5 linked regions of the Danio rerio genome follow. The protein of the gene in region 5 interacts with the protein of the main gene of each other region in a biochemical or structural test. Links are inferred from orthologs where the notes say so. Each region holds a gene or a part of one and is shown on either strand. Other genes may lie near its edges. The genes, in order: prkd1, mapk10, smad3a, runx1 and jun.

Evidence for each region.
Region 1: of the proteins of jun (region 5) and prkd1, one has a biochemical effect on the other in vitro, tested with the Homo sapiens proteins (2 studies listed by BioGRID). The link is inferred for Danio rerio from reciprocal best matches to the Homo sapiens genes JUN and PRKD1.
Region 2: of the proteins of jun (region 5) and mapk10, one has a biochemical effect on the other in vitro, tested with the Homo sapiens proteins (7 studies listed by BioGRID and IntAct, with this or other methods). The link is inferred for Danio rerio from reciprocal best matches to the Homo sapiens genes JUN and MAPK10.
Region 3: the proteins of jun (region 5) and smad3a form a complex in vitro, tested with the Homo sapiens proteins (3 studies listed by BioGRID). The link is inferred for Danio rerio from reciprocal best matches to the Homo sapiens genes JUN and SMAD3.
Region 4: the proteins of jun (region 5) and runx1 form a complex in vitro, tested with the Homo sapiens proteins (2 studies listed by BioGRID). The link is inferred for Danio rerio from reciprocal best matches to the Homo sapiens genes JUN and RUNX1.

What each region holds. Positions count from the first base shown.
Region 1 is NC_133192.1:30,457,351-30,460,869, forward strand, and holds part of prkd1 (serine/threonine-protein kinase D1), read left to right. Parts: intron 1-1,025; coding exon 1,026-1,187; intron 1,188-1,336; coding exon 1,337-1,435; intron 1,436-2,116; coding exon 2,117-2,384; intron 2,385-3,519.
Region 2 is NC_133196.1:10,935,864-10,939,988, reverse strand, and holds the start of mapk10 (mitogen-activated protein kinase 10), read right to left. Parts: upstream 2,816-4,125; 5' UTR 2,606-2,815; coding exon of another isoform or gene 2,603-2,605; intron 1-2,602. UniProt on the Homo sapiens protein: Serine/threonine-protein kinase involved in various processes such as neuronal proliferation, differentiation, migration and programmed cell death.
Region 3 is NC_133182.1:34,183,109-34,186,111, forward strand, and holds the end of smad3a (mothers against decapentaplegic homolog 3a), read right to left. Parts: intron 1,854-3,003; coding exon 1,730-1,853; 3' UTR 518-1,729; downstream 1-517. UniProt on the Homo sapiens protein: Receptor-regulated SMAD (R-SMAD) that is an intracellular signal transducer and transcriptional modulator activated by TGF-beta (transforming growth factor) and activin type 1 receptor kinases.
Region 4 is NC_133176.1:2,084,037-2,088,135, forward strand, and holds the start of runx1 (runt-related transcription factor 1), read right to left. Parts: upstream 2,805-4,099; 5' UTR 2,496-2,804; coding exon 2,468-2,495; intron 1-2,467.
Region 5 is NC_133195.1:16,778,634-16,782,246, reverse strand, and holds jun (transcription factor Jun), read right to left. Parts: upstream 2,373-3,613; 5' UTR 2,104-2,372; coding exon 1,177-2,103; 3' UTR 513-1,176; downstream 1-512. UniProt on the Homo sapiens protein: Transcription factor that recognizes and binds to the AP-1 consensus motif 5'-TGA[GC]TCA-3'.

The sequences.
Region 1 (3,519 bases), on a different chromosome or scaffold from region 5:
AGTCTACAGAACAAACCATCATTATACAATAACTTGCCTAATTACCCTAACCTGCCTAGTCAACCTAATTAACCTAGTTAAGCCTTTAAACGTCACATTAAGCTGTATAGAAGTGTCTTGAAAAATATCTAGTCAAATATTATTTACTGTCATCATAGCAAAGATAAAATAAATTAGTTATTAAAAATGAGTTACTAAAAATATTATGTTTAAAAATGTGTTGAAAAAATCTTCTCAAATTAAACGGTCAAATAAACCTTCAGAAATTGGGGGAACAAATGGGGCTAATAATTCTGACTTCAACTGTACTTATAATATTATAAATACAGGTCAGAATAAGTATGTTGTTTGATTTTTTTTTTTTTATATTTTAATATAAATGTTACACTAAATACCAATGAAACATATTCACTTTTTGACACGCATATATATATATATATATATATATATATATATATATATATATATATATATATATATATATATATATTTTTTTTTTTTTTTTTTTTTTTTTTTTTTTTCATATTAAATCCCAGAAGTGTAAATCAGACACATTGATAGTGATTCTCTTAACCAGTAATTAAATATTTGCATTGAAGATAAATTAGATTCAGGCTCTTTCAATTAATAGACTGACAATATAATATTATATGCCTATTTTAATATGAATGAACATTCACACAACCAGTTACATTTTTATTTTACTAATAAATGCAATCTAAAATATAATGTGAGCATGTAATTGAACTCATTCAATTGGGTATCTTGCAACAACAAAACATATACTTATTTTATATAATAATAAAAATGATTAATGTGGAAAAAAGGTCGATGTTGCTATTTCAGAAAGTTGATGTTGATATATCAGATCATTTATATTATTAATTTGACTGATGTATCAATTCGTCTATTTATAATAATTAGCCACAGATTAAAAATGGCATCAGATTAAATGGCAATATTACTATACAGTTTAATGAAATGTACTGTATATATGTGACGTATACTACATCTGTTTTGTGCAGAACCTCCATCATCCTGGCATTGTGAACCTGGAGTGCATGTTTGAGACACCCGAGCGTGTCTTTGTTGTCATGGAAAAGCTCCATGGCGACATGCTGGAGATGATCCTGTCAAGTGAGAAGGGGAGGCTTCCAGAGCGCATCACCAAGTTCCTTGTATCGCAGGTACATATCTGCGCAGGAATCACTCATATAAACATTTAAAGCCAGAATCAAGCGTAAAGCTGGACCTTTTGCTTTTGCATTCTTTTATTTACCATCTCCTATGTTTTATTCCGCATTGTAATAACAACATTGTTCTGCTCCTCTCCCAGATTCTGGTCGCTCTCCGGCACCTTCACTTCAAAAACATTGTTCACTGTGACCTCAAACCCGAGAATGTTTTGTTAGCCTCCGCTGACTCCTTTCCACAAGTGAGTAAAACCCGAGCAGAGATAGAAGCGACAACAAAAGAAAGGAAATATCTGAATGAAGTGAGGCCACACCGAAATTAACATAAATGGATCTGTTTTTGTAAATGCGTGCGAATAAAAGATGGTAATTATAGCGTTCTCATGGTGTGTTCGAGGCACAGGGTTGTGTGTGTCTCTACATTCTAATGAAAGATTTCTAAATTATCCTCCCATTGTTTCTTCTGTCTGCCGCACAAGCTCGTCTCTGGAAGCTCTCAAGCAGAAGGATGACTCACTGTTTGAGCGCGGGCAAACATTTCGGAAGAATACTAAACAAATCACCGCGTGTCATTTACAAATATTTTGCAGAACCCGAGCTGTCAGCGTCTGAGCTCGGTCCTCAGGTGCTTGTTGCTGTGCTTAAGAGAATCTTTTAAAGGTGGAAAGTGGAGATCAGCAGGAGATACATTGTAACCACATCCAACTGGGTGATAATTTCACTTGACTTTCCTTCAGTCCGTGACAACTGATCATTACGGCGTCTGTGGTGTTAAAAAGCTAGCGCGAGAACAAAGGGATGTTATTTTGGGGGGGGGGGGGGGGGGGCTCTTTTGTGCATCTCGGTCCTAGTCGAGTGAAATAGCCAGTTCTTCTTGTCGTCTGCTTATTGGAAAGCTCATTATTCGCTGATTTGTCTTGCAGGTTAAGCTCTGCGATTTCGGCTTTGCACGTATTATCGGAGAGAAGTCTTTTAGGCGTTCGGTGGTTGGCACTCCGGCGTATCTCGCCCCTGAGGTGCTGAGGAACAAGGGTTACAACCGCTCGCTGGACATGTGGTCGGTGGGTGTCATCATCTATGTCAGTCTCAGTGGAACCTTCCCCTTCAATGAGGATGAAGACATTCACGACCAGATCCAGAATGCTGCCTTCATGTACCCACCCAACCCGTGGAAAACAGTGACCCCAGAGGGTGAGTTTTGGGGAGAATGAGATCTTCTATGTTGCACAAGCACCAATAAATTTGGAGATTAGCTTTTTCATTATGTATTTACCCTTGTGTCAATCCAGACCTCAAGAAAATATTCTGAAAAAACACCTCAAACTGTTCTTAGTCACAAATCATTGTCATTTTAAACACTGCCTTTAATCTCGGCTAAGTATTTTAAAGGTAAAATTAGCACTGTGTTTAGCTAGGGTTATAAAACACACTGGATGTGCCAATCGACGACGCAACGCACCACACAGCGCCATGCATTTTAGAATTCTAAACAAAGTCGCAAGTCAATGGCTGTCCATGGTGCCCAGCTATGATGACTCAGGACACTGTTCATATTTCTGCAACGTTCATTTTAATAACATGCCAATGTGCACGTCTGGTGTGCGATGCTTTTAACAGTCATGTGCGTGCCGTGTTGCAGCGCTGAGCAGCGCATCCAGTGTGCAACCCTCTTTAGCAACACTCTTGCAGTGTTAAAGGTATGATTAATTGAAAATGCAATTAATCATAAATGTGATTGTCATGAACACCTTGTTAGAAAAGCATGATTGTGTTTAGTAGTAAATTTCCTCCAAAGGCCAGAGGGCGCTTTTGTGCAGAAACTCCAAACATGAAGAAACCCAGGCAATCCCCATAGCTTTGCATAATTAAAAGAAATTTTAGCTGCTTTCATTAATTCAGTGACTAATAATCACATGAATGAACTCGTCTCACAGAAGGATTTATTTCAAACAATCTACTGAATTTAGTGAAATCACTGAACACTCGAAATAATTACATTTGCTGTTTGTTCAAACAACGTATTTAAAAATTTTTGTGACAACTTAATTGTTTTATGTTCAATCCACATGAATTTGTAAAAAGTGATATGTTAACTTAATTCCTTTATGTTGTCGGAACACTAACTGTGTGAAACCCAGCATGTTTTAGAGTGAAGTAAGTTGGGAGTAAAAGATGTTTTAAAATATGGTATTCTCACATGCAGCATTTACTACACACAACGGTAGTTCACCAAGAAGTGCACAAACAGCTGTTATTATCACAGAATGATTATCTCGATTGTGTTATTGCCCAATTCATTCAATTTTAATTTTAAGCACTTGGCTTG
Region 2 (4,125 bases), on a different chromosome or scaffold from region 5:
CCTAAGACACATATTTTAAATGGGGCTGGGCAAATAGAGAGAAGGATACTGATCCAATATGAATAACTTACTAAGCAAACAAGCCAGCTAATAAATATAGATAACAGTAATGTAGTGGACTACATTGGTCAAGATACTATTCATTACAATAAACTATTGAGGTAAAAGAGTCAAGTCCTTGAAAAAACATTGACAGAGAAGAATTGTTTGCTGAACCGTTCAAGCCACATGGAGACAAAATACCGGCTTCTCAAGGCTTTGTCCTTCAGCAGTTCCCTCACAAAATCACTCTCTTAATCCTAATCAAAATGTCAGCGTACCTGGAGAATACGAGAGTTCAGATGATCGCCGCAACCTCTGACACTGAAGCGTGAGGCGAATATAACCAGGGTACCCAGTGTTGTGGGATTTAACAATATACAGACACAATGGAACAGCCTAATTAGCCATATGGGGTTGTTTTTTGGGGGGGCTACGGATGATTAGTCCATGGCCGTCCCTTAGAATATGCATAGCGCTTTGCCAAAGCCTGCAGTAATTGGCTCATTTTAACAGAGGATACCACAATGTGCCATTGCATTAAAACAAAAGCACAGATTATTAAAGCACCAAGAAATATTTCAGCATATGTCAAATTTCCAGCTTTAAAAAATAGGCAAGGAAAGCCTGAGTGGCTTTTTTTATAGATCTGACATGAATCTTTGATAATGGAACTCTTTGTGTATTCCTTTTGCTTTAATTAGTTTACTGTTCTCACAAATGCAATCGGTTTTGCAACAAACTGCACAAATGTTTTATGCTTCTTTTTTAAACTTATTAAACAGTACATTGCTCCAAATCATTTTGCTTTTGTCATTTAATCAGTAAATTAATGCATAGCCACTTTTACTCTGTACCAAATATATAAAAATATATATATAATATATATTTGGCACAGAGTAAAAAAGTAAAAATACATGTACAGTACATGCACTTTTGAATTATTCCACATAGTTTAATAAAAAGCATAACATATAACGCATAAAGTGGAAACCGAAATAGTCCAAAATACCAAATGGAAAGATTGTTCCATAGTGTGAAGCACTCAGTTGATAAAATGAAGAGTTTAGTAGCAAAAACCTCTAAATGCCGTCTGAAATTTTCCTCTAAAATGATTTTTATCAGGCTCCTGTGTGTATGTTTAGTAGTATCACTTTTATGGCAAAGAATAATTCTCTTTTATGGTCTTTGAAGAGAACTAACTCAACATTAACAAAGGAAGCTGAGAAAAATGTTTATTTTCAATGGAAATTTCAGACGGCACTTAGAGGTTTTTGCATCTAAACTCTTCATATGTAAAATGTTTACTGCTTTATGACACTTTAATAGATTTACACCTCTATGGTAGCCTTCCTAAAAATATAAAATAAGATAAAATAAATATTCAACATCTTAGACCCCAGCATGAACTCAAATATGCATCAATTGCAGCATAAAGCATCAAATGCTAGAACTATTGATTGAAAATAAATATGATTATTAATATCCTATTAATTCCAATATTGCTTCATTGAGAATAAAATGTCATATTGTATCTTACGAAATTTTCAAAAAGGCAAATGTATTTTATTTCAGCTCACAATACATAATATAAATAACTTCAAGTCAATATATTAATGTAATGTAATGTATAAACAAACATAGCCACTTCTGCATCAAAACATTTATATAAATGCCCTTTTGGAATTTTAATAAATTTTGAAGTTATTATTCCATGCAGTCTTATGAAACATTATGCACTAGAGTGCATAAAAATCATTACATCCTGTGATGTTCACTCAATATTTCTTGATATCTCAAAATGGAAACCAAAAATATTTATTATAAAAAATGCTCCATCATGCATCACACATCTAAAAACATCTAAACATGTTTTAATGTTTCATTTCATGCATTTAATATTTAATTGTTGTTCCTAAATAGTGGTTATCCAACCATAATTGGGAATAAACTTCAAATTTGATCAAACTGTGTCAAAATGAGGTGTGTTTTAACCCTGCTTCCTGTTATTCAGGCTTCCAACGTGAACTAAATAAATAAATAAACAAATTACCATATGGCCCATCTCAGACTCCAGCACCTATACACTTCAGTCATCTTAAAAACATCAAATGCGAGACATATTGTGAAAATATACCATATAAAGTATTTTACTAGCAATTCTGCATTTTTTGAAATGCAACATGATATAATATTGGAATCAAACATCCGAAACGCATGTAAATGAATCGACTTTTGCGTAATCACGTCATTGTTGTGACTCCAGATTCCATCAATCCATATTCTAACAAAGGCCTGCGGTCCCTGAAAACAGGACATATGATGATGCAGGACCGCGAGTGATGCAGGAAAAACACGGATGGACGTGCGCTCGCACTCGCTCAGATCTGGTAAACACCGGAGAAATCCTGCCATTTCGGACATCGTTCGACCTTCGTGACGGATCATTTATTTGGCTAAGCCGCGAAAGCATCGACTTCATTAACCTTCATTTCGATCAATATTCATCACCCCACCCTTCAGGTTCCCGCATCAACATCTCCCCACCGACCGACCGACCTACCATTCCGTGCCAGCTGCCCGTCCGATGATCCCGGTCCGGTGACAGTCCAGTCCTGTTCAAAACATCCCGGCAGGCGAATCTTTTAAAAACCACTGTATCAAACAGATGAAAAGAAAGTCTAACGCTGGATTAAAGCCTGAGTTTGCGATGCTGAATCACTGCGCGCTCACCATTGTGCTGCAGGATGATGCCTGTACCATTATGGATCCTACCAGCGTAGTGATGGCAAAACGGGAGGAGGAGGAGGAGAGAGTGGGGGGTGCGGGAGACGGGTTGCCTGGCAACGGGAGGGAGCACACGATGACGTCAAAGACGAGAGCGGTCTCATAGGAGTGAGGAGGAGATGGAAAGGAGCGGCGCTCTGATCGCGCATCTGGAGATTGGCGGATCTTTGCGCACATGACCGCCGACTGCGTGTTTGGAGGCGGGCAGAGAGACAGAGCGAGGCGATTCTTTTGAAGCGATCGGTTCGTTCGAAGAATCAGTTAGAATGAATCGCCTCACAGGAGACTTAGGGGGCGGCTATTAAAAAGTATAACTAAAATCGAATCTAGCGTGTTGTTATCTGGATATGCTTAAAATTGTGAAAATTGTAAAAGCAAGATCAGAACGAGTGAATTAAACAGTATGATATTCTCAAACGATTAATTTTGGTCAAATTTTAGTTTTTTTTGCTCTGGCACACATTGCACTTTTAAATAAATGAACAAACAGAGAAACACACGAAAAAAAGACAAAAATTAGAGTTCAATTGTATGCAGCAGTTATAAATCAATGGAAAGTAGGCTAACATACTCATATGTTATGGTTATTATACTGTAAATATAACCATTTAATCCAAACTATTTTCGAGCATGCTCGAATTAGAAAAACTGACAACGTCCATACAGCAGTACCTTGGACTTTGCCAAAGCCTGCAGTAATTGGCTCATTTTAACAGAGATGTGTTTTAGAGTCACAATGTGCCATTGCATTAAACTAAATGCACAGATTATTAAAGCAACAAAGAAACATATGTCAGATTTCCACCTTCAAAAAAATAACTAAATGAATGAATGAATGAATGAATGAATGAATGAATAAATAAATAAATAAATAAATAAATAAATAAATAAATAAATAAATAAATAAATAAAAATAGGCAAGGAAAGCCTGAGGGGCTTTTTAAATTTCTTATTTGACATTATTTGTCTTTGATATAGGAACTCTTTGTCCAGTTCAGTCAATTTTATTTTGCTTTAATTGGTTTACTCTTTTCTTCAGTGCAGTCCATTTTGCAACAAACTGCACAAATGTTTTATGCTTCGATTTTGAGCTTCTAAAACATTACATTACTCCAAATCATTTAACATTTGTCATTTAAATAGTAAATGAATGCATATGCGATTCTTTTAATCTTTGCTGAAATATATGCATACTTGTGTGCATTATTACAGATGGTTATTAAACTGGAAATATTAATCATTAAATCCAAATTATTTTCAAGCATGCTCGAATTAGAGATGACAAAAACGTCCATAATG
Region 3 (3,003 bases), on a different chromosome or scaffold from region 5:
TTGGGGATTCAACGTTTGAACAGAATTATAAAACAAGAGAAAGAAGTCAAAGACTGTCTTTCCTTCTTTCTTTATTTTTTCTTTCTTTCTTTTAAAGGGACAGTTCACTCAAAATGAAACTTCTATCATCGTTTACTCATTCTCCACTTGTTCCAAACTTGTTTGAGTTTCTTTCTTCTGGTAAACACCAGAAGAAGATATACTGAAGAATGTACGGAAAAACAGCTCTTGACTTTTATAGTATTTTTTGTTTGTACAGTGGATGTAAAGCGCTATTTTCCCCAACATTCTTCAGAATATCTTGTTTTGTGTTCAACAGAAGAAACCATTTATAAAAGTTTGAAACCACTCAAATGTGAGTAAAGAGGTAAAAACGTTTTTTTTTTAAACGTTTTTTTATGCAAATTTTCCCTTCAAGAAGAACATCTCAAACTTTTAATGTGTATTCAACATTAATTTAGGGATTCAATGTTTGAACAGAATTCTTAAAATAAAGAAAAAGGACTCAAAGTCTTTCTTTCTTTCTTTCTTTCTTTTTTAAAGGGACAAAAAATGAAACTTCTGTCATCGCTTACTCATTATCCACTCATTGTTACAAACTTGTTTGAGTTTCTTGCTTCTGCTAAACGCACGAGAAGATATACTGAAGAATGTAGGAACGAAACAGCTCTTCACTTTTATAGTATTTTTTGTTTGTACAGTCAATGTCAAGGGCTGATTTTCCACCAAAATTCTTCAGAATATCTTGTTTTCAACAGAAGACAAAATTCATAAAGGTTTAGAACCACTTGAGTGTGAGTAAATTATTTGAAAATTTTCATTTTTATGTAAAGTATCCCGTCAAGAAGAATGTCAAACTCTTGATATGTATCAGATATTAATTTGGGGATTCAATGTTTGAGTAGAATTCTAAAAAAAAAAAAGAAAAATGAGTCAAAGAGTTTCTTTCTTTTTCTTCTTTCTTTCTTAAAACAGTTCACCCAAAAATGAAACTTCTGTCATCGTTTACTCATTCTACATTTGTTCCAAACTTGTTTGAGTTTCTTAAATCTGTTAAACACAAAGAGAGATAAATGCAGGGGATACAACGGCTGTTGATTTTTATAGTTTTTTTTATTTGTACAATGAATGAGGGCTACTTTTCCCCCATCATTTCTTAGAATATCTTTTGTGTTCAACAGAAGAAATCCATTAAAATTTGGAACCACTTGAGTTTGAGTAAATGTTCACTTGATTTAAAATGTTCATTTTATGTAAACCATCCCTAACTAAAGAATGTCAAACTCTTGATATGTATTAGACAACATTATACATTGGGCCAGATTTGTGTTGTTTTGATTTAACCGAAATTTGTAAAAACGACATATCTACACTTTACAAAAAAAGCACTTTTTATCACGCCTCTAAAAAAATAAGCCTCTGTTATGGTAATTCTAACATAACAGCATCAGAAAAGACATGACAGAGAAGAGATATCTCACATAGACATGCTATATAACAAAATATATCATAAATGGCAATATTTCATGGCAATAAAAATGGCTAACAATAACATAAAAAAACAAGTATGTACTGTACATATACTGTAATAATACAATGTCTCCAACATTGAAACAAACACATGTGAAAGTGCTACCGAGTCTGTAATCTCCAGCCTTTGAGTCCTGAAGGAACTTTTTCCAGATCTGGTGGTTTGTATATGTTGAGTTTGTGCAGTCTTTTTTTCTTCCTATGACACACTGGAGCAGCGGATGGAGGGGGAGCCCATCTGAGTGAGTACTTTGTCCAGCCACTGCAGAGGCCCGTTAAGGTGCAGCTCTATCCAGCAGGGGGTGCTAGTCACTGTCTGCCGCCTGACGCCATTAAAGAGAGAGAGAAATAATTAGAAATCAGAATGCCGACACAATGTGCAAAACTATGAATACACTTAGCCATATTCAAATATATGTACTGCATCAGATCAGTGTAATCTAATCATCTACAGACAGCCTAACTTAATAAAATCTGAAAGGTATATGATTTTATTTAGGCCAAATGAAGTGGAAAGGGGCTGGCTTGAATGCTTGTAAAGGCAAGCTCCAAAAAATGAAATGTATTTCTTGCTGCTTGAATTTGTTTATATAAATCATTACATAATTAACATTATAAGAGAAAATATGACTGTGACAGGCATCAGTTTTGCAGTAAATTAAAGTTATGGCTCAAGTATTTCATTCATTCATTCATTTTCTTTTCATCTTAGTCCTTTTATTATTCCGGGGTCGCCACAGTGCAATGAACCGCCAACTTATCCAGCATCCAATGATAAGCACATTTGCCAATTTAAGTTATAAGCACTTAAGTATGAAGCAAGTGTAGGAAAAGTCACAACATTTCATGTCAATAAGATCAATGCAAATTTACAAAACAAATAAATAAGACCAAAAACCAGCACCTGAGTTAACCACTTAGTTTAAATGTATTATTATTATTCATTCATTCATTTTCTTTTCGACTTAGTCCCTTTATTAATTTGGGGTCCCCACAGTGGAATGAACCACCAACTTATCCAGCATATGTTTTACACAGCGGATGCCCTTCCAGCTGTAAACTATCACTGGGAAACATCCATACACGCTTATTCACTGTGAACAATTTTTAGCCTACCCAATTCACTTGTACCACATGTCTTTGGACTGTGTGGGAAACCGGAGCACCCGGAGGAAACCCACGCAAACACGGGGAGAACATACAAACTCCACACAGCCGGGGTTCGAACCTGTGACCTTCATGCTGTGAGGTGACAGCGCTACCCTTTGTGCCACCGCGTTGCCTATTATTATTATTATTATTATTATTGCCACAGCCATATCACCATGCAGCCTAAGACCGGTTACTCACTGAAGCTAAGCAGACCTGTGCCAGGTCAGTACCTGCATGGGAGACCACATAGGAAAAACTAGGTTGCTGTTGAAAGTGGTATTAGAGAGGCCAGCAGGGGACGTCCTAATGCCCCAGTAAAAG
Region 4 (4,099 bases), on a different chromosome or scaffold from region 5:
CTGCTTTTTAAAGGATAGTTTAACACTGCTGTTACCACGGTGGAGGACTTCCGTGCAGAGAAAAAAACAGGCAAAAGGAGCGTCAGACATCGCAGCGGCCCGCGGTTATTCGGCCAACCACAATCGATGCCACATGAGTGCGGTTAAAACCCGTCTCCAAAACCTGCGCTCCCTCCAAACACACAGCCCAATATAAACACAACCACTACATCAGGCTAAAACTGGAGTTTGTTGATGGCTGGTTGGTGTGAGAGAGATGAGGTGTGGAAAAGCGGCAGACGTGCATTTGCAGAAATTCAGGAGCAACAGAAATATCACAACTATAATAATCACTCTTTTCAGGTGTGGCTGGAGAAAATCCTTTTGTTTAATTATTATTTGTATGACTGTTGGTTGTTTTTCTCTCTTGTTTAAATGTCTAATTGCCAAAAGGTTTATGATTGTAAATAAAAAAGTGTATCTACAAGTGAATGTCTGCTAAATTGTCTAATATTAAAAACATTTACACTAAAAATCACTATTTTAGGAGAACACATTGTAAATAAATGGTGGGTTCAACACAAATAATTCAATTTGCTCTATTAAGTTAATTAATTTTTTATTTAATTTGTTTTTTTTTAATACATTGACTCAGCTTTTTTTTGTTTATTGACATTATTATTATTATTATATATTGACCAAAAATTTCCTAAGCTAATTTTTTAATTGAATTTATTTACTTATTTATTTAATTTCATTTCTTGGAACTTGATCTTGCCAACTTTTTTGTTTATTGACATTATCATTATCATCATTTTGTTATTTTTCTGGCATTTTTATTATTACCCTATATATTTAGTGTATATTTTTTACATTTTTTTTTTTTTTTTACAAATTTAAGTGGAATAAACAAAATAATTACCCCCCCCCCCCCCAAAACAAAAAAAATCAAGAATTGTGTTGCTTTAACTCATTTTAAATAAGTAGTCTGAACAAACGGCAGACTCAATTGAGTGCACAAAGACTTGAATAATAAAATAAAAAAATAGCTTATATAAAAAATAAGAATAATGTTAATTAACAAAACAGTTGACATAAGTTCAAGCTGCAAGAAATAGAAAAAACAGATAATTATTAAATATTAAATATACATACCACTTTAAATTATATATATATATATATATATATATATATATATATATATATATATATATATATACATACACAACATATATATATATATATATATATATATATATATATATATATATATATATATATATATATATATAAATAAACACACACACATCTGTCCCAAAATCTGATGTTTTATTTTAAGTGTCTTACTAATAATCACTTCAGCTACGTGTTTATTTAATGTACAAACTACTTCACATGTAATATAATATTTGCATTACAGAATGTTCTTTTGACCCGAATAAAACCAGTTTCTATAAAAAGGTTGAAATGTAATAGCCTATTGTATTTACGAAAATAAATAAATAAATAAAATTGATGAAAATATCATCTTTCATCCCAGTTCTTTTTCATGGTTTTCTTTTGTCGTGACAAGGCATTTTGTTTACACCATCCACACTGACCAAAATTCTTAAAAAAATATAATTAAATATCAGATGTTTATATTATACACATTATATATATATATATTTCTTTTTTTCCCCTCAAATTTTAAGACAGTTTGAGATTATTTTGGTATTTTTAGTTTAGTTTTTAGTTATTCTTGAGGTCTTTTAGGGTTTGTAGATATATATAAAAAACTCACCAACAGTAATAAAAAATCACTTTAATTTCAGGAATTTGATTAAGTTTATCATGGAAAATATATACCTACATAAAAAAATAATAAAATAATATACTTTTTTGTACTTTCATTATTTTATTTTGTAGTTTTCATTAATCTGCATTTTCTGAATAACACATTATATCTCTCCATCAGTTTCCATTGTATTACTCTTTTTAGTTAGTTAATGCATTTATTAATTCAATTTCCTCATTTCCAATTTTACTGCAATACTATTTTTGAACTACTTTCTTGATCAATTTGCATTTCATATTCTGGCATTTTCTGTGCAGTTCAATAACAGGCAAACAGAACTACACTTTTTAATGTACAAATCATGGCATCATTAATAAGGTTGAGGTTACAGGTTTTATTCTCTACACAGTTCAATAATAAGCAAACAATACTAAACTTAAACTGACTTTTTTACGTAAACAGTTTTTTGATGAACATGAATGTCACATTACCATCAATATAAAGGTAGAGGTTACAGGTTTAATTATTTCTGCAGTTTAATCATACGCAAACAGAACTGATTTCAGCTTTTGACGTCGCATTATTAGGGTTGAGGTTACAGGTTTTCGTGATTAGTAACTGTAATAAACATTCAGACGTGATGAAACATGACGCGTAAAAATAGCCCCGTGAACGCGCGAGTGACTGTCCCGATCTGAGAAGCGCTCTTACCGTATTTGGCGTCCCAAAGAAAAACCATTTGGTATGTTTTTGTCTCCGTGAGTTTCGGGATGGGGATCCACAGCTCTTAACAACCCTGCTGTTCGGTGTGAAGTGGGCTGAACTCAGATCAGTTTTTACGCAGATGCTGTTCCTCTTTCAGCAGAAATCATCATCGGCCACGCGCGTATCCTTTAGAAAGTTAGAGCGCGCACCTGACGCAAACACTTTCGCTTTCTTTAACTGACTACAAAAGTACTAGCTGGGTTAAAAAAACTAAAAAAGAAGGACCAGTGAGAGAAAGTGCTGTTCCTGGATCAGATGATGCGCTGTGAATGAATCTCCGGCAGCGACGCGCTTTTACTGGCAATGGGCAGCGCAGGAACGCCAGCCAGGACAGCCAATTTGCATACGCCAAACCCCTGGAGCGCTATCATTGGATAGCGATGACAGACCTCGATGGGCTCGACCAATCAGAGGTCAGACCGAATTGGGGGGGAGAAATGGGTCTAAGCAGTCAATGGAATTCCTCGCGCGTGGTTGTTGCTAGAAGGGATACAGCTGCGGCTTGAAGTAAACGGGAATTATTTATCGAATAAATGAACTCAGCCATCCCAGTAATGTAAAACCAGCAATTATACCGAGTATTATTATTAAATTACCCATTAAATTGCATTTTATTAACGTCCAAACCAGCTCAGTAATGTAAAAACAGTGATTATTACAAAGTAATATTCCTATTATTTATTAAAATATAATTTAAAAGTATTTTATTAACGTCTTCACCAACCCCAGCCATCACAGTAATGTAAACCAGTAATTAAACAGAGTATTATTGGTGTTTTTCATCAAATTACCCATTAAATTGTATTTTATTAATGTCTACCTCTTCCCCAACCCTAACAGTAATGTAAAAACATAATTATACAGAGAATTATTTATATTATATATTAAATTACCAATTATTTTTTAATTAATAATGTCTACCTCTACTCTAACCCTCACAGTAATGTAAAAATAATAATTATTATAGTAAAGTGTCACTAAAATTAAGGTTTGCTGATGTTGATGAACAGCTGTATTCCTTCTAGATTTCTTCAGTCACTGTTTAATTTACGGCCAAACCTTTCAGAAATAAAGTAAATACACCAAATATTCTTAAAGTATAATCATTATTAATTATTTATGTTTATCATCTTTATTCAATTTGTGTATATTTAAAGTATTATCATATAAACATGTTTGGAAACAGTGTGCAGGATTGTGTTTGCTAATAGCTGATTGTTTTGTACCAGCAGATTTTGTTTTGTATTTTTTTATCAGAAGGAACATGATATCAGCAGAACAAGCAGAAAAGCTTCAAAACGCCAGCCTGTTCGTCTCACTGACGCAATGCTGATCATTCAAACCACAGTTCAGTAAACTAATATATATATATACACATATTATTAATAAAATAAGATAATAATAAAACTACCAGAAAACTATGAAAATATTATAACAGTGACGATCATAAACAAAAAAGTTGACACAATATCAAGTTCCAAGAAATCAAAATAAATAAATTAATTAAATAGAAATTTGTCTAATGGAATAATAAATAAAAATAATAAATTATAATATTAATAAATAAAATAAATAAAT
Region 5 (3,613 bases):
TATTTTTAAATTTCAACCATTTATTAATTTAATATTAAGTCATTGTTGCTGGTTAAATTGTTAAAACTTGTATACATCTTCAACTTCTACAATTTTTTTTAACATATTTGCAGGCTAACACTAACCTTAATAAACTTTTGTTTCAGTTGACACAAAAATGAGGCCATGATTAAAGGCATTGGTCTATTTAGTACTTGACTGTGTGATAATTACTTGATAATTTCAGCATTACTGATTTAAAGAGTCAATCAAATTATGTGTCTGCTTTATTTTGATGTAAAAATGTTATATTAAGTTTGCATTTAACCTTTAGCAATTAAGCATGTATTTATAATGTTATTATTTTTAATTACTGTAAGGATGTTTTTTGACACCCTTTTTTCCCAGTCCTGTCTGTGGACTTTACAAAACAGCCAGTCTCTTCCAAAACATGTTATTACATGTTTGTCAATTTGAACACACACACACATACACACACAAGCGTCATTTCCATTAAGACAACAGAGACATTGTTTTTCATTTGACATACTTTATTACAGTTCATAAATATTGATTAGTTTCTGAGGTGCTCAGAAAACAAACATAAAAAATTATTGTACTTTACTTACAAATGGTAAACTTAAGTACTCCTGGTTGATCATATTTACAAATAACAATGAGTGAAACCTCATTAATGAACTTTTTTTTTAGAAAAAGAAACTGCTTAAGTTGGACTAACTCAAAAGGAAAAAAGTCGATTTCCGTTCAATTTAAGAACAACAAAAAAAGTACAATATGTAGCTCAGAAGTCAGGCAGCTTTTTTATCAAAAGTTTAGCAGACACAACGTCCTGCTTGGTGAGCCAGTATCCCTACTGTACGGCAGTCGCGTCTCTGTTTTACTCCTATAATACTGAGTGCTCCTTTGAAGCGTATAGGTCCATGCACAACCTGGTCGATGTGAACAAGGATTTCGTCAGAAAGTAAAACATGTAACAGAGTGAGTCTCATGCGCTCTGCGTCTCTGTCGGACCGAGTGAAGTTTTGCGCTCCTCAAAAGTCCAGTCGGATCATCCTTTAACGGCACGCGGCCGGCCGGACGGTCCCGGTCCCCGCGGGCTCTGTCGCGCCAGATCGCAGACATCAAGCCCCTGAAGTTTGTTTATGTGGCTGAACTCAAAATGTCCTTCGGCTCTCCTCAGAAGGTTTGCAGCTGTTGTGTCAACATGAGCTGGCAGCCGCTGTTGACGTGGTTCATGACTTTCTGCTTGAGCTGTGCCACTTGCTCGCGCAGCATGTTGGCGGTGGACGCGAGCTCCGAGTTTTGCGACTTCAGGGTCTTGACTTTGTCCTCCAGCCGGGAGATCCTCTCCAGTTTCCTCTTCCGGCATTTGGACGCGGCGATTCTGTTTCTCATGCGCTTCCTCTCGGCTTTAATCCGCTCCTGGCTCTCCATGTCGATAGGAGAGAGCGGTGGGGTCTCGCCGGGCATCTCGGGCACCGTTTGGGGCTCCTCTTTCAGGGCCTGGAGGCGCGGGTGCTGGACGGGCAGCTGCGGTGGTGCGCTCGGGAAGCTCATCGCGGCTGGATTGGCCGAGCTGCTGCTGATAGCAGGGTTGAACGTGTTCAGATCCGCGTAAACCGGCGGATCAGCGCGCATGGCTGAGCTGTAGACCGCACCGCCCGCTATGGACGAGACCGGTGCCATGCTGCTGTTGATAGTAGTTTGGGGAGCCGAGGTGACGTTGGGCATGTGCTGGTGGTGCAGCTCAGCCAGTGCCCTCACAAAGCCCTCCGCGAACCCCTCCTGCTCATCCGTCACGTTCTTGGGACACAGAAACTGGGTCGGAGTTGGCGTCGTGGTGATCATGCCGTTGCTAGACTGGATGATGAGCCTCTCCAGCTCCGGTGATGCCAGTTTGAGAAGTCCCACGTCGGGAGAAGTGAGGATATCGCTGGCTTTGGCCCTCAGGTGGGGCTTTAGGTTCCCCGCGGGGTCGGACAGATTGAGCGTCATGTTGTGTTTCAGAGCCTTGTGGTTGTATCCAAAAGTGGCGCTGTCATGCTGAGAGAAAGCGCTGTTTAGAGAGTCATCGTAGAAAGTAGTTTCCATCTTGGTAGACATAGAAGGCAAAGCGAAACTTTTAGTTCAGAAGCAGTCTTTTAGGCGCTGTTAAGCACTGTCCGCGTTCAGTAACGAGCGCTGCGGTGTTTGGAACAAAAGCGAGAGGATTGGAAAAGTTCCTCAACTCCCCGTCCCGCGAGAAACTTACTGCGTAAAGTTATCGCCAGTGTCACGGGCTCGTCTCCTCCTGCCTTCCGCGGATAGAAAGTTCTTCCTCCGCCGCTGTCGCGCTTCTCAGACACCAGCAGATAAACAGTGCTTAGCCGAAGGCTTATTTATGTTGGTTTGAGTGAGGTGTTTCACTGTGGCGAGGTCTGTATACTCTGAGCTTCTCCAGCGTGGAGGCAAACCTTATCTGCTACCGCTGCCCCACTAAAAATAGAAATGATGTAATGCGCGCAGCCTCTCATTGGCTGGAGGCGTTTTACTGGGCGTGTCACAATTTCAGATAAGGCGCGTTGCCTAGACGACCACCCAGAAGATTCTACTCGCGGTGCCTGATGGGATGAGGTAATGCTGTAAAGCAGTGCATTGTGGGATTACGTATTGTTTTTGAATATCTGGTTACCCGCTTAGCTGTTTTAGACCGTGGCGGGATACAAAGAAGCAGAGTAATGTACAACGCGCCACTTTTAGAACTTAAACTTTACTATAAGTTTGAGAAGAAGAGGCAGAATAAATGTGTGCCGCTGTATGTTTGAGAGTTGACCAATTCTTGCGCGAGTTTCGCAAGACGCGGCCATTCTTTAACAACAGCAAGTTCCAAACACTCTCTGGATCCAGTTTAATGTATTGCATATACATCAGTAAGGTAAAAAATATATATTAGAAATACAGTTTGGAGTCAGTGAAACTAATTTCCAACCTTACAATAAAATGTTGAGGGAGATTTAAAACGAAAAAAAAATAGAAGAAATGCCTTCTGAAATAATAAATTAAATAAGCATAACTTGATGTTACTCATTTTGTTTGAATATAATGTTAGATTAGCTGATTAAAAGTATTTTTTTTTAATCAGTCGTTGAAATATATTATGAATTAATTAGTATTTGCTAATTTTACTCTTCTTCACTTCCAGCACTCCCTTGTTGGCCCCCTGGGGGTCCCCGAACCCTAGTTTAAAAACCTCAGTGTTATACAGGCATACATAATTTAATCTGGCACGAAGAAACAGGGCTATAGTCTGCTTTTTTATGCCAAAGTGCATTTGCTCCGTCAGCCAATGGTCTAAAAATGGGGGCGTTTCTTATTGTGGAGTGACAGCGTGCCACAAAGTCCAGCCGCCGTATCCGTGACAGTCCCTAGAGATCCTCTCAAAAGTGCAAACAACCCTGTTAAACGTCACTGCGTCAACCACAACCACAAACTGATCGAATATAGCGTGACAGCTGACAAGTGACGTTTCAGTTTACTTTCTGAGATTTTTACTGACGTTGCTTAAACGTATGTAAAGACACAATAGCTAGTTTATTTGTATTTATAACAACATTAGTAAGATAAATATACAGGT